2 linked regions of the Drosophila melanogaster genome follow. The protein of the gene in region 1 purifies or fractionates together with the protein of each later gene. This does not show direct contact. Each region holds a gene or a part of one and is shown in the gene's direction. Other genes may lie near its edges.

The links. The genes of interacting proteins can lie anywhere in the genome.
Region 2: the proteins of RtGEF (region 1) and Git purify together in Drosophila melanogaster (affinity purification with western blotting; 2 studies listed by BioGRID, with this or other methods). This does not show direct contact.

The regions. Positions count from the first base shown.
Region 1 is NT_033779.5:20,350,865-20,357,741, forward strand, and holds the start of RtGEF (Rho-type guanine nucleotide exchange factor), read left to right. Parts: upstream 1-3,102; 5' UTR 3,103-3,203; intron 3,204-4,498; 5' UTR 4,499-4,545; coding exon 4,546-4,883; intron 4,884-4,941; coding exon 4,942-5,142; intron 5,143-5,220; coding exon 5,221-5,641; intron 5,642-5,697; coding exon 5,698-5,937; intron 5,938-6,011; coding exon 6,012-6,877.
Region 2 is NT_033778.4:10,640,321-10,647,356, reverse strand, and holds Git (G protein-coupled receptor kinase interacting ArfGAP), read left to right. Parts: upstream 1-1,929; 5' UTR 1,930-2,019; intron 2,020-2,202; 5' UTR 2,203-2,226; coding exon 2,227-3,102; intron 3,103-3,394; coding exon 3,395-3,551; intron 3,552-3,614; coding exon 3,615-3,700; intron 3,701-3,762; coding exon 3,763-4,047; intron 4,048-4,420; coding exon 4,421-4,611; intron 4,612-4,683; coding exon 4,684-5,080; intron 5,081-5,142; coding exon 5,143-5,346; 3' UTR 5,347-5,539; downstream 5,540-7,036. Other genes in the region: Elp2 (elongator complex protein 2), read right to left, coding at 1-495, 551-1,334, 1,386-1,508; CG11883 (uncharacterized protein), read right to left, coding at 6,769-6,843, 6,908-7,003. UniProt on the Drosophila melanogaster protein: GTPase-activating protein for ADP ribosylation factor family members, including ARF1.

The DNA.
Region 1 (6,877 bases):
AATGTTTGATAAAACGCAACGCAGCTGAAGGTGAGCGAAAAACTAAAGTGGTTAAGAAAACCCTTCAGACAGCTTGGCTGCAATATATCTAGCCGTGGAAATGAATCAGGTTTTCCAATAACTGCTCGTCTGGCCAAAGGTTCAGTGGCATCTGAAAATTCACCCCACTATGCGTCATCCAAGTAGAGGCATCATAGACATCCCCACAACGGCAGACACAATCAAGCCTTCCTATAAGAACCGCCATGGGTTTTTACATACATATATGGCATATATAATAATAGAGCGGGTTTTCTTCCTTATTTCCCCTTGAGATTTTAATATACCCATACTGCTAAATTCTTCATCGATGAAGATATCTCTTACAAGAAGCATTTAGTTGACTGAATTATTGGTTTTTTTTTTTTTTTTTTTTTTTTTTTGTATTTCAACACTTTCTTTTAAGCAACATATTTATATAGAAAATCTAATACATTTTTAGACACATGACAAAATCCTATTTACGTTAAAAACAGTTTCAATCGTTTAGTCCCAACAAAGGACATTTAAAGCTTAAAGCTCAAGAATACATTTTATGTAATGACTCCTGTACTTTCGGCACAACTGTTGTTCAACTTGCTGCTGCTCGTGCAATAGTAATTTGTTGCCGGTTTCTGGAGTTCAGAGGTCCGCCTGCATAATCCATTGGGTCAATAGCAGGGCTCCTCGTGGGGCATCCGTTCCAGCTCCTCCCGAAAAGCGTTTGTTTGCTAGCACTCGCTGCGAAAGTAAAATGCACTGCCGGACGACGACGGAGGCACGTTCTGCCTGCCGCTGCCTGCCGCATGCCACCTGCCTCCCGGCCCCAAACTCCCCCATTGGATTCCCAGAACCAACAAGCATCATTACCCGAACAATTTTGAACCGCTGCCAAGAGAATTTCCTATGAAAGGTGGTGGCAAGCTGAATGCAAATTCATGCTTTTCTTTACTCTCACATGATCTTGGTTTCGGCCACCAGGTCAAAAGCAGTTTGCAAAATAAATAGCTACCCTAGAAAATATTATTTAAATCAAATTGAATTATTTCATGGTTTAAAAAGTTATATTTGTTTGTATATATTTATGTGGGGAATGTGAAAAAGTCTAGGGTAAGATCTCGTCGAACCACTTGGCTCTTTGCGCCCTATGGTTGTTATTCTTACGCTTTAATGAAAGCATGTTGGCAATATCTGTATGTGGGCCTGTGATTTCCCAAAACAAACATTGGCCGTCAAATCATGCGCCTGATTTTCACTCGTGTCTGCTGGGAAACCGCGTTTCTTCATATTTCCGCTGCTGACCTCGTTCTTGGTGTGTTGGTGTCGAGAACAGCGGATCCCCACAAGCTATTGGAACTCCCACTCGCTCACCTCTTCGGTGTGCCCACAGCCACCGATGACTTCCTCCGCCACGAAGTATCTATAAATACGGCGAGCGACGCAATCAAACTATATTACGTCCATATATCTGAGGAAATGCATCTCAAGTGGCGGCTGTGCAGCCTGTAAATCTCGGTATTGACACATTGAAGAGGCCTTATTGAGTGCAGTTCGGCTGAGCTAGTAGGGATAGCGATTCGGATCCGGTCCCGACCAGGCAGAACTGCATAAATTTGGTTTGTCTTTGGCTGACTTTGTTTGTCTTTGCCGCTGACTTTGCCAAGCAAAACAATCCACTCGCCTTTCTTTTACATCTCTCGTCTTTGTTGTTTACGTTCCCCAGTGTCCCACGAAAATAAACATTCGGTGATTTGATTTGGGGTGCTCCCCTCCGATGGATGCGACGTTTTACTCGCCAAATTGCGCATTTCCGGAAGCGGCAGGGATATTCATTTGAATTTCGCCTTCGGCGACGGATCGTTAATAACCGAAAGAGTTGTCTCTTATACTCAGAGAGCGTGGGCCCGGTGTATCTGTATCTGAAACTTGTATCTGTATCTGTATCTGGATATGGGGCCGCATAGCCGATCCGCGCGGCGCCATGTGCAAGTTTAATGAATTAATTAAAATTTGGTTCCGAGAGCTTCAATGGGGTATGTATGCATCTTTGTATGTGCCCACATATCTGCGTGTGTGCCGCTCGGTATCTGCATTTATGCATCTGCTCATCTGACCTCCGATGCATCGTTTGGAGCACCACCACCTACGGAAATTTGATTGTGCCCGGCCATGGACTTAAAGTGATTTCAGGGTTAAACGAAGCGAAGGAAAGTGACATACATTCGGCTTGGGTTTGGCGCTGCACTTATAAAGCATATTTTTTGCCGACATTCTGATCTCGGCAGATTTGAATACGAATATTCTGTGGAAAAAATATTTAGTTCTTGGTCACTCTAGCTCAAAAATTCTCCGTCGGTCTATAAGCTTCAACATCTTTATTCAGTAGAGTTTACAGTTCCAGCCTCCTTGTTTGTCTCAGAATGAAAGTCTTTGGGTTAAATTTGATTTATATTCTATCTTAAATTCTAAAAATATGACGAATTTAACATTTCCTGAGGCCATAATCCCATTAAAACCACAATGTGTGTCGCACGATTCTAAATTTTAGATTATACAAGTCTACACATTCCATAAACGTTTCCTATGATTCACGGGCATATATTGTATGATCAACAGGAAACTGAGCGGAACAGGTGAATTTTTCTGAAATAATTCTAAAATGCTTGAATATGAAGAAGTTTTCGATTGATGACTGAATCCACAAACATGGAAGATCTCACATCCAATAGGCAACCCACATATATTTTGGCACAAATATTTTTATGTGGTTTTTTTGAATAGACAATACAAAAGCACAGCGAGTGTCGCTTATTTCTCAATGAAATACAATTAAGATCCTCATTTTGGAAACGCAGATGAAAAGGTTGTCCCCGGATTCATATTTTTTGTCACATCTCTGTTGATTTTTCATGAAAATATGCGATGTGTCCGGTCGAAAACGCTCGCGTACATGTGAAAATATATTCGAATCTCCTGCGATCCGACGAGACTCTCAGAAAATGACTGCGAGAGTGGCACTTTCGGTTGCCGTGGAAAATTCGTCTGCCATATGTCGCCAGCTTTTCGGTATTTTCCGCTTTTCTCGGCAGTTTCGCTGAAGCAATGAACGCGTGCGGTGCATCGTCTGAGAGCAGAAAAACGGCGAAAAACGTCAAATTGTCGTACCACAATTTATTGTCGAAAAAGTATATATCACCCATCTATACAAAAGAGTAGCGGGTATATGTATTCGAGTGCCTAGATGGCGAAAAAGTGACATTTTAAGAAATTTTCATGCGTTTGTGCAACCAAAACGTGACCTTGCCTTAGGGAAATATTCTCATCAGCCTATAAATCTTGACAATCTCATGAGAGCGGTAATAATTCGTGAAAAACTACACGTTCCAGTTTGGCATATAGAACTTGCGATCCGCCAATATGTACACTTTCGTCTGTTTTTTATTTTTAGTATTCTAGAAAACTATTTGGGCAAAATAAACCAAGTTGTTCATATTTTTGCGTTTACTCATTGCGGCAATAGCAAACAAATGTGATGCATCTATTTTTAGAAAATATATCACTTTTTAACATTTTCAGTCCAGAATTGAATTTTTGCATAAACATAGGAATTCCTATATTAATAAAAGCACACGTCGCGCTGCCAATTTTAAATAGTACCAACGAATAGACTAGGCTAAAGACTTTTATAAACGACTTTAAAAATAATGACATCCACTAACTAGCCCCCTAGTGCCACTCATACAAGAGACCATTTCAATTAAGCTTTGGAATATTGGGGGTTTTTGTGAGTAACAATGTCGTAATATAATTTTCGAGGCATTCGAAAATATTGCGATTTTACTTCTTTCTATAGATATCTGATGTATAGAGTGCACTTGCCTTTAGAATCCAATGTGCCAATCCCATTTCCGTCAACGAAAGTGTTTAACGATTGAATGAAATGTTGATCTCTTAAAGAGTTGTTCGAACAAACCAAATAAAAAAGGTCGTAAATATTTTTAGACGCGACGTGGCCGTTGTTTATGATTTATATGTTGGCCTGTCCTGTCCGGCTATTCAAATTGTTTTTATGGCCCGAAAAGTTTTTCTTTCACAATACGCGCGAGTGATTTTTACCCAATTTTTTAATGGATCCTCGCAGCTTGTGTGACCTTGGCCATCGTGTAGCGCACGAGTTTTCCAGACACTTGCAGTAAACTAGGAAAGAAAAGCCGGAGGGGAGTCGCCGGAAAAGTGTCAAGAAACTTGCGCACGCGTTTCTCGACAGATGTTTTCAAAATGTTTTCTTCTTTGGGGCCATAATTATTGCTCGGCTAATTCCAAGAGGCTGAGGAATGCCGAGCGATCGACGATGATGTAGCTCATCGCTGCAATAATGCGTAGGTGCTGTATATAACGAGCGATATGCTCACATATGCTTTTTCATTGAGCAAATTGCCTGGCTGATGTTTCAAGTTCAATACCCATCGCCTCGTTTCAGTTGAATCAATCTAGTGCGCACTCGGATCAGCCCTGAACAATCCGATAATGGATCAGCCACTGGTGGTGCAGGCGGAGTACTCCTTCATGGGCAGCAATAACGACGAGCTGTGCTTCCAGAAGGGCGATGTCATCACGGTTACCCAGCGCGAGGATGGTGGCTGGTGGGAGGGAACGCTGAACGATAAGACTGGCTGGTTTCCCAGCAACTATGTGAATGAGTGCAAGGTGCAGCTGCCTCTAACGGAGACCATAAGGCCGCCGGAGGAGATCCAGGAGTATCGGTCTGTGGTGCTCAAGGATCTGCTTGACTCGGAGCGCGCCCATGTGGCCGAGCTGCAGGGTCTGCTCGAGAATTTCTTGGAGCCCATGCAACAGACGCAAATGTAAGTTCTCTATTCTCTGACATAATTTGAATATAATCTAAAAGGGCTTCTTCTACAGACTCAGTCAGGATGAGTACGCCCAGCTGATGTGTAACTTTGTAGAGATTGTGCGTACGCACGAGGATTTGCTTATCCAGATCGAGGAGTGCAACGATCGAGTGGGAAAACTATTTCTCACCAGCGCCCCCTTGATGAAGAAGGTGCACCAGGCGTACTGCGCTGCCCATCCAAAGGCCATTGTCATACTGGATAAGTACAAGTATGTGCTCCTCGCTTTATATACATATATTGTGGTGTTCAATTGTTAATAAATATAAATTTTTTTCTATTCCAAAAGGGACGAGCTGGAAAAGTATATGGAACGACAGGGCGCAGCCACTCCTGGATTACTTGTGCTCACGACGGGTCTATCAAAGCCCTTCCGGCGACTGGACAAATACTCGGCCATGCTGCAGGAGCTGGAGCGGCATATGGAGAGCAGTCATCCGGATCGCGGCGACACCCAGCGGAGTGTTGCCGTGTACAAAGACATAGCTGCCACCTGCTCGGCCACCCGTCGCCAAAAGGAGCTGGAGCTGCAAGTGCTCACGGGGCCAGTGCGTGGATGGCAGGGCCAAGAGCTGAGCACCCTCGGGGACATCATCCACATGGGCAGCGTTGCAGTTGGAGCTGATCATCGCGACCGATACTTTGTGCTCTTCCCTCAAACATTGCTATTCCTTAGCGTTAGTCAGCGGATGAGTGCATTCATCTATGAGGTGGGAAACACAAGCACAACATGGCGAATTTGTTTGTAATCTGTTTTCACACGCAGGGCAAGCTACCCTTAACTGGGATCATAGTGAATCGCCTGGAGGACACGGATGCCCTGAAGAACGCCTTTGAGATAAGCAGTCCCTTGATCGATCGCATTGTAGCAGTTTGTCAGGGTCCGAATGAGGCCAACAAGTGGGTGGAGCTGCTCAATGCCAATAATCCCAGCTTGCCGATGGGCATCAAACGGCAATTGAGTAACTTGAGCAACTCTTCGCTAGGACACCTAAATGCCGCTCATGTAAGTAGTATATTTCTCCTATATATTCACCTTTATTATCGTTTCGTTTTGGCGACACTTTAAACCGTGAGCAGCTGAGTCAACATTTGGATTCACGGGGCTACTGCACGCGATTCTCGCTGTGTGCCTATTACTCCAGCCCCCCGTGCCATGTGCGACCTCTCCGTGTGACTCTTCCCCCAAGCAATTACCCAGCAACAGCTCCGTACGCCAATCTTAGTGCTCACTTTGCCAGGCTTGTTAAAGGCGGCGGACTGAGGAGTGCTATCGTAAAGATGCTTCTGTATCCGCAGGCTCGCCAGAGCATCGATCTCAAAAGGATTGCGTTGCGCAAAAGGCGTTGTCACAAGGCATCTGCAAAGTTAAAAGATCTCAATACCAATCAGGATTCGGGGCAGTCCGAGTTGGAACGACAGGATGCAATTGAACTACCAACGGACTCGGAGAGCTATGACGATGACTTTGAAGATGATTTTTTGCATTCCTGCGACTCGGATCCGTTTGAATATGTGCAGTTTTACCAAAACAAGCGGAACGATTCCATGTGCAACTCCACAGGCACATTCGTGGACCATGGCACGGGTGCCAGGAGGCACTGTTCCTCTATCAACCTCATTAAATTGGATTCCGCGGACACGGACGAAGTTCTAGCGCTCAACGAGTTAAAAAAGGAGTCTCTTGTTATAGGATCCAGAGCACTAAGAGCTTTGGCTCGGAAGTCCACGACTCGAAATTCCAGTGTGCACACATCCACGGCAACTTTGGAGCTAGGTGTGGGTGGCAGCATCACAAACTGTGTTGAGGAAGAGCCAATTCTTAAGGTCAAGCCATCGTTCTCCCTGCAACAACAAAGTTCCGATGCGAGTTCCATTTTTGCAGCTAGATTGGGCGGTGCATTCACCGCCTGCGAGAATCTGGCCAGTATGCCTGATGATCTCAG
Region 2 (7,036 bases), on another chromosome or scaffold:
TGAAGTTGGCTGGCGCTTGAAAAGTGCGCACAATCTTTTCCTCAGCTCCGCTGGCAAATTTATAACGTGAAAGCAAAGCCAACGCCTGCATATCATATCCATGAATTTGTGGACGAGCCAGCTCGTGCCACGTGGGATTAGCTCCATCCTGTAGCCACGGAGCGTGCAGTCGAGTTGTTTGGTCTGCAGACGCGGTCATCAAATAGGCGCCGCTATGTTCCCAAGCCAGATCCCTCACTTCGCCATAATGACCACCAACGATGACACCTGGGGTCCAGAGCTGTGGCCGATCTGGATCTTGGCTCCAAATATGAAAGCCACCTTGGTAGCTGTGGGCCATGATCGAGTGTCCATCGCCGGAGAACTTTCCACCATAGAAGCCCACGGAGTTTCCACCCACTTCACCCACGCGAACTTCTTCCAACCAAATGCCTTCTTCCGTAGGTGCCCAAATTATGACGGTCTTGTCAATAGAAGCGGATAGAAGGCGGAGCTCTAAATGGATAACGTTTTTGAAAGGTCTTTGGGGAGTTCAATTGCTGTGCTTTACCTTGATCGGGTGTTTTGTGCCAGTGGACCCCATAAATCCATCCCTCATGTCCATATAGAACCGATTCCAAGCTCACTGCATACCAGGCTTCTTTCCCCAGTTGTAGTATCTTCTCCTCCACCTTTATCTCATCGTCGTTGTGGCTCAATTGATGCAGATCAACCCGATTCTCTTGCATTTGCTCTTTGCTGCGCGGCGCAATCCGCCAGAGACGAATAAAGTTATCCTGAGAGCCACTGGCCAGCAGCAAATCCTCGCCATCGACAACGAAATCCAGACCTCGAACCCAGTCTTCGTGGCCAGTGAGCTTGTGTTTGCGTTGGAACTGCCGACCTAGTGAATCTCCTTCACCTGCGGTTTCTACCTGTTCCGACCACAGGGAAACAGTCTCGTCATCGCCACTGAAGGCGAGCAGAACCTGGTTGCTCTTGGGCAGCAGCTGCAGTCGAAGACAGAAGCAGAATCCGTCGGATAAAGATATGGTTTGAAAGCACACATAATTATTATCCTGGAAAGTCCACAACTTGATGGTGGTATCTGCTGCTGCGGTCGCCAAAAGCCAGGAGCCATCCTGTTGGCGAATTCCATCCACAGTATTTACGCCACTTGTGTGTCCTTTGAGAGTGAAGCTCTTAGTCGTTCCCGTTTCATCCAGTTCCCAGAGAATAGCAATTGCATCATCTCCGCCGGAAAGAAGTTTGTCGCAATCCAACCACCTCACAGTGTTTACTCGCTTTGTGTGCTCCACCAGCGTGAACAGGACCTTGGCTGAGTTGCCTTGAAACTAAAAATTGGTTAAATATACTATGTTTCCAGTAAAGGCAAAATTTCCTACCTTTGGATCCATAATGGCTATGGCGTTACATGCCCCATAGGCAATCCAACCATTTGGACCCCAATCCGCGCATTCCGTGCAGCGGTTGCAGGCCACTGAAGTATGCAGATTCTCCACTTGCATGCTAATGTTGCACTTCTATTTTTTAATGACAACTAAATTCGAATTGAATGTCGGCGAAATTGTTTTGTTTTGGCACATGTGCTTCAAATAATGCAGTGCTTCTAAAACTGTCTCATCTGTTCATAAACATATGATTTCTAAGGGAGTGCAAGTGAGACAACTATATGTTGTGAAGAAGCTGGAATAGTGAGGCCAGCCGACAATATTGAAAAGTCTGGCAGGGCTAGTTACGAAAGTTACACCTGTTTGGTTTTTGATTTTTCGGTATTGCAGACCATTGCAAAATTTTGACCGAATAAATATTGCAACTTCTGTAATACTGGGTATATGATGGATTTTAAAATTTGAAAAGGCACAAACACAGCTGCTACATTCGTCAGCCTTTTCACTTCAAATCTAGCGCTTTTCCACTGCTACTGTTTGGTCACACTGGTGCGCAAAATAACTAAAACAAACTCGGAAAAGGCGTCCGCAAATGTTTTCTTCTGCTGCTCCCCGCGTTTAATTAAAAGTAATTTTCCTAATTGATGGCCAGGGGTGAGCCCCAGTTGCTGATATTTGACCTTTCACCGCCAGCGTTTCGGATTTCCAATCAGAAAGCCAACAGCTTGCAACTGACTCACAACGAAGTCACTTGAGATTGTCCGAGTTTTTTTTCAACTTCGGTATTCTATTTTTCGTATCTCCCCTGCAGCTTGTGAGCGTCTTGGAATGCTGAATGTGTTTCGCCAGCAGTATAATCGAAGCGCACAGGAAGTTATTTATAGCGCCGCCGGATTTGGATCATTCCGATCCAGCCACACCCACGATTTCGACCAGATCCAAAATGCCGAGGGGGAAATCCCGCCTGCAAACCGAAGTTTGTGGCGATTGCGGAGCTGGTGATCCATCCTGGGCGAGCATCAACCGGGGCATCCTTCTCTGCGCCGACTGCTGTTCGGTGCACCGCAGTCTGGGCAGGCACATCTCCATTGTGAAGTCTCTACGCCAGGGTAACTGGGAGCCCTCGGTTCTGAACTTTGTGAACTCTCTAAACGCCCATGGAGCCAATAGTGTTTGGGAGCATCATCTGCTGGATGGCAGCACCAACTCCACCGGCGGAAAGCACGTGCCACGCTGGCGGAAACCCACGCCCAAGGATGCACTCCATCCCACCAAATCCGATTTTATTAAGGCCAAGCATGTGAATCTAACGTTCGTGCTAAAACCCAGTCTCCAGGATGACGATGATGGCAATGGCTCAGCGGGCTGTCTGGAACAGGAGCTGAGTAGACAGCTCCATGCCAGCGTGCGGACCAGCAATCTAGAGACTTCACTGCGCTTCTTGGTCCAGGGTGCAGACCCAAATTACTACCACGAGGACAAGCTATCAACGCCACTTCACATGGCCGCCAAGTTTGGCCAGGCATCACAAATCGAGATGCTGCTCATCTATGGAGCCGATGTGAATGCCTTGGATGGCAATGGGATGACTCCTCTGGAACTGGCCAGGGCCAACAATCATAACACCATCGCCGAAAGACTGCTTGATGCCATGTACGATGTCACCGACAGGATCATTACCTTCCTAGGTGGCAAGAAGCCAGATCATGCGGTGAGTTTAGATCTTTAATTACCTGCAGAGTGAAATTATACTTTAATTGGACAAACCATTTAACCTTATCCATTGATTAATCATATATGTATTAAGCCAATTAAGCTATATCCTTGTAACTCCTTAAGTTGTCTTCAGTCTAAAGTTTATAACTATCTATTTAAATTTTTGTTAGTCACAGAACTATATTTATTTAATGGATTCATATTTCCATGAGCAAATGCACAGTTGACTCGACCTTTCCTACCCATTTCCTTATTCCGTTCTATTTAAATACTATTTCCATACGTAGAGTGGCCGCCACATGATTATTCCGGATGCCAATGGCGCGGACATAAGCGAGCAACTGAAGATTGCACGTGGAAAGTTGCAACTCGTGCCAAATAAGATGTTTGAGGAGCTGGTCATGGACCTATACGATGAGGTGGACAGACGCGAGTGCGAAGCCAGTGAGTATGACTGCTAAACATAGACTACAAACAAAGCTAATCTTATTTTTCTTAACGAAATAGTCTGGTCGACAAGCACCCTGAATGCTGATCATGCAACTGTGCCATTTTTGCCGGCTAATCCATTTTTGAGCGCCACGCGCAATCAGGTTTGACCTCGCCGTACATTAATGATTCGAACCTTCATTCATTGACATGGTCTCGCCTACAGGGTCGTCAGAAATTGGCACGCTTCAATCGCGCCGAGTTCACTGGTCTCTTGACCGACGTGCTCGTCGATGCTATGCGACGCCAGAATATGGCCAACCTGCGTCCAATGGATGCCCCAGTGGCCGGGCACCAGTCGCTGCAATCGCTGCCGTATGCCAACAACTCAATGCTGCTCGGCTCGTTCGAGCAGGGCGGTCATGATCCGAATCTGTCGGACGACGAGCCCATTTATGATCCGGTGGCCAGCGATGACGACTATGCCCCAGTGCCACCAATGGCCCAGCAGGTAAACCTAATGCGGCAAAAGATACTCAAGCTGAACAATAGCTTTGGCTAGAAGCGTAAGCGAAGACTGACATTTAGACAACCCGTGCTGTACCCATTGTGTTCATCCGTAGGCCAGGGCACTATAGCTCCCTGATTTTAGGCAACCTAATCCATTTTCAAAGGTAGAAGTCCAAATGTAGAACATAAGCCTCAATAAAACTAGCTGATACTTGTGAAAATGTAGTTTAAATAAGTAGTAGTTGGTACCGTGATTTGTCTGCCTTGCCTTTTGTTTTTATGCAATATTTATTTTTAAAGATTTTGTAATTATTAGTTGTACTTGATTTATATTGATTTATTTTCCTTGTTTTTATGCTTTTTATTTTACTTAGGCCATTGTGCATACGCCACCGCGCAGCGCGAATTCGCACAACGAAATGGAAACGCTGCGCAAACAGCTGAACGATTACAAATCGGAGATCAATCAGCTAAAGAACGTGGTGCAGATGCTGTCCAGCGAGAACACGCAGCTCAAGTCCAAGTTCTCGAGCGCATCGAACAACAGCGTGTACGATGAGCCACTGTGAGATTTTTCATTTGAATTTATTTGGCTAGCTTTATTTTTATGATTTGTTTTAAATTTTCCTTTGCATAGTCGCATTGATCTGAGCTTGAGCAGTCCGGATACAGAGCACGAGCCTCTGTCGCTACCCGAAGGTGGGACTGCCAATGGGGAAAGCGGCTCCTCCAATGATTCGTCAAATCAATCGACCATCAAGCGTCCAGCCAGCATGTACGAGCGTCGTTTGGTACCCAATGTGGCCAAGGGCAATACGGACATACGAAATACGACCAGCATGTACCAAATGGCTGGGGATGGCAAACCTTTTGGTGAGGAGGTCAAAGTGCGCTCTGACTTGGTCACACGCCGTCTTAAGGAGCTCATAAGAGCTATGCAGCCAGTGCCAGAGGATCAAAAGCAGTCGATTGCTCCACATGGAGAGCTTATACGAAGTGCCGTGACTGATTTAATTGCCCTTTATGCCAATTTGGTAAGATGAACATAGGGGCTTCCTTTATAAGGATGTTTCATAATCATAAACATATATTTTAGCCACCGAATGCCAGTGACCCGTCTCGCGAAACCCTTAAACTGCTAACCCGCCAGAACATTCTCATCCAGCACGAGTGCGAGAATCTGCAGAAAGCCATCGAGGCGGATGACAAGCAGGCCATACAGAAGAACACCTTGGAGGTGCGCGACTGCGCCTTCCACATTGCCAGTGCCATAAAGACTTTGGTGTTGCAGTTCTATTGAGACGCCCAAAACACAATCATCGACATAGAAGTTTAAACTCACTCACTCTTTTTTGAAGTATTAACCGACCACTTTAGTGCCCTGCTGACTAACAAAAGTGCTTCCGCCAAATAATTTAAAGAATCCCCTTTACATATAGTTTATGTATTTAATAAATGTTTACATAAATCAATGTACTTCGTTCAATATACACAAAATGCGTTCTTCTACGGGCTAATGACCCATTGCAAAATAGTTTAAAAGTGTTGAAGGATTGGCCCTCAAATTCAAAGGGGGGGAGACAAAGGAGGTGGAAAGATTTACGATATCTGTGTATATATATATATATTTATGGGTCCTTTATAATTTTAATAATCAGGTGCATTTTGAGCCTGTATATTGTTCACTTTAGTTAACTGTACGTTCTAAGCATGGACAATCAGTTAAGCATGGAGTACATATGTATAAGTGGCTTCCTCTACTTATTGTTTAACTTTGTGTAATTGAGTGGGTAGCTGCTGCCTTTGCTCTGGCTGTTTTTCTGACCTCCGGCTGGTGGTCGGATTGCTCGCCTATGGACAAAAATACACTCGTGGTGGTTGTGGTGTGCAAGTTCAAGGAACTATTTAAGATTAAAGCATTTATCCATGAGTGTTGCACGACTGTGCTCGCGGTCTCTAAAAAATAATATGCTCTGCCATGTTCGAAGCGCACCAAAAGTGTCCATAAAAATATACACATCCCATTTTGACATTCAAAATCTAGGTGCATTGTCTAAAATATTGCTTAACATTCACTTTACATCTGCTTGCCCCTTCAGTTTGCTACTCGTAGTCCTCCTCGTCGCGGTCCAGTGGTTTTCATTTGCTTGCGTACAACCTACAGTATTTGATTGTGTTCGTGGACTCGGGATTTTTTAAAAACAACTACTTGGAATATCTGAAGGTTTTTTCCCAAAAGCTCGGCTCAAACTCTTTTCGTTATCTAGATCACAAAACATAAGGGCTGCTCTGTAGTTACAGTAATAATAATCAGTTGGTTGTGTAAATCAGTTTATCTAATTAAAAGTAAATTAAACTAGCGGTAAGCTTTAGGTACACGTACTCACTACACATGCATCATATACAATATCAATATCAATATCTCTGGGGAAGTCTTACAAACGTTCACAACGAAACTTAGCCGAAAAAAACAGTGGAGCATTAACAATAAACGGTAATAATATAGGACACGATCCCACAGATCTGCCAACTATCTAACTAGCTAAATGGTTATATCTTCGCTTTGCTTTTGCCTAAACCGTACTCAAATGTTTCTCTCCACATCGGAACCTGTCCCTAAATCAATTTGTCTTATTTTCTTGTAACTAGAAAAAACGAAAAAGAAATAAAGAATACAATAAATTAAATGCAAATTGTAAATCAAATGACTTTTGGTAGTTCTTTACTCGTCCTCAGCTTCGGTGATTGTGGAATTCATTATGTGCGTCTCCTTTTTGAACAGTAACTGTCGATGATGCTGCGGGAATAAGGATTGCTTAGTGTCAATTGTTATATTAAATATACAGAATATTGTATATTACTTCTTCGTTTTGAATCATAACGATACGGTGCTCCAGTTGTGGCGCCAAATCGCATGTGGACTGCTCCAGGTCATCCAAGGACGCACGTCGTAACATCTTTAAGGGAGTAAATATTTCATTTCAGATATT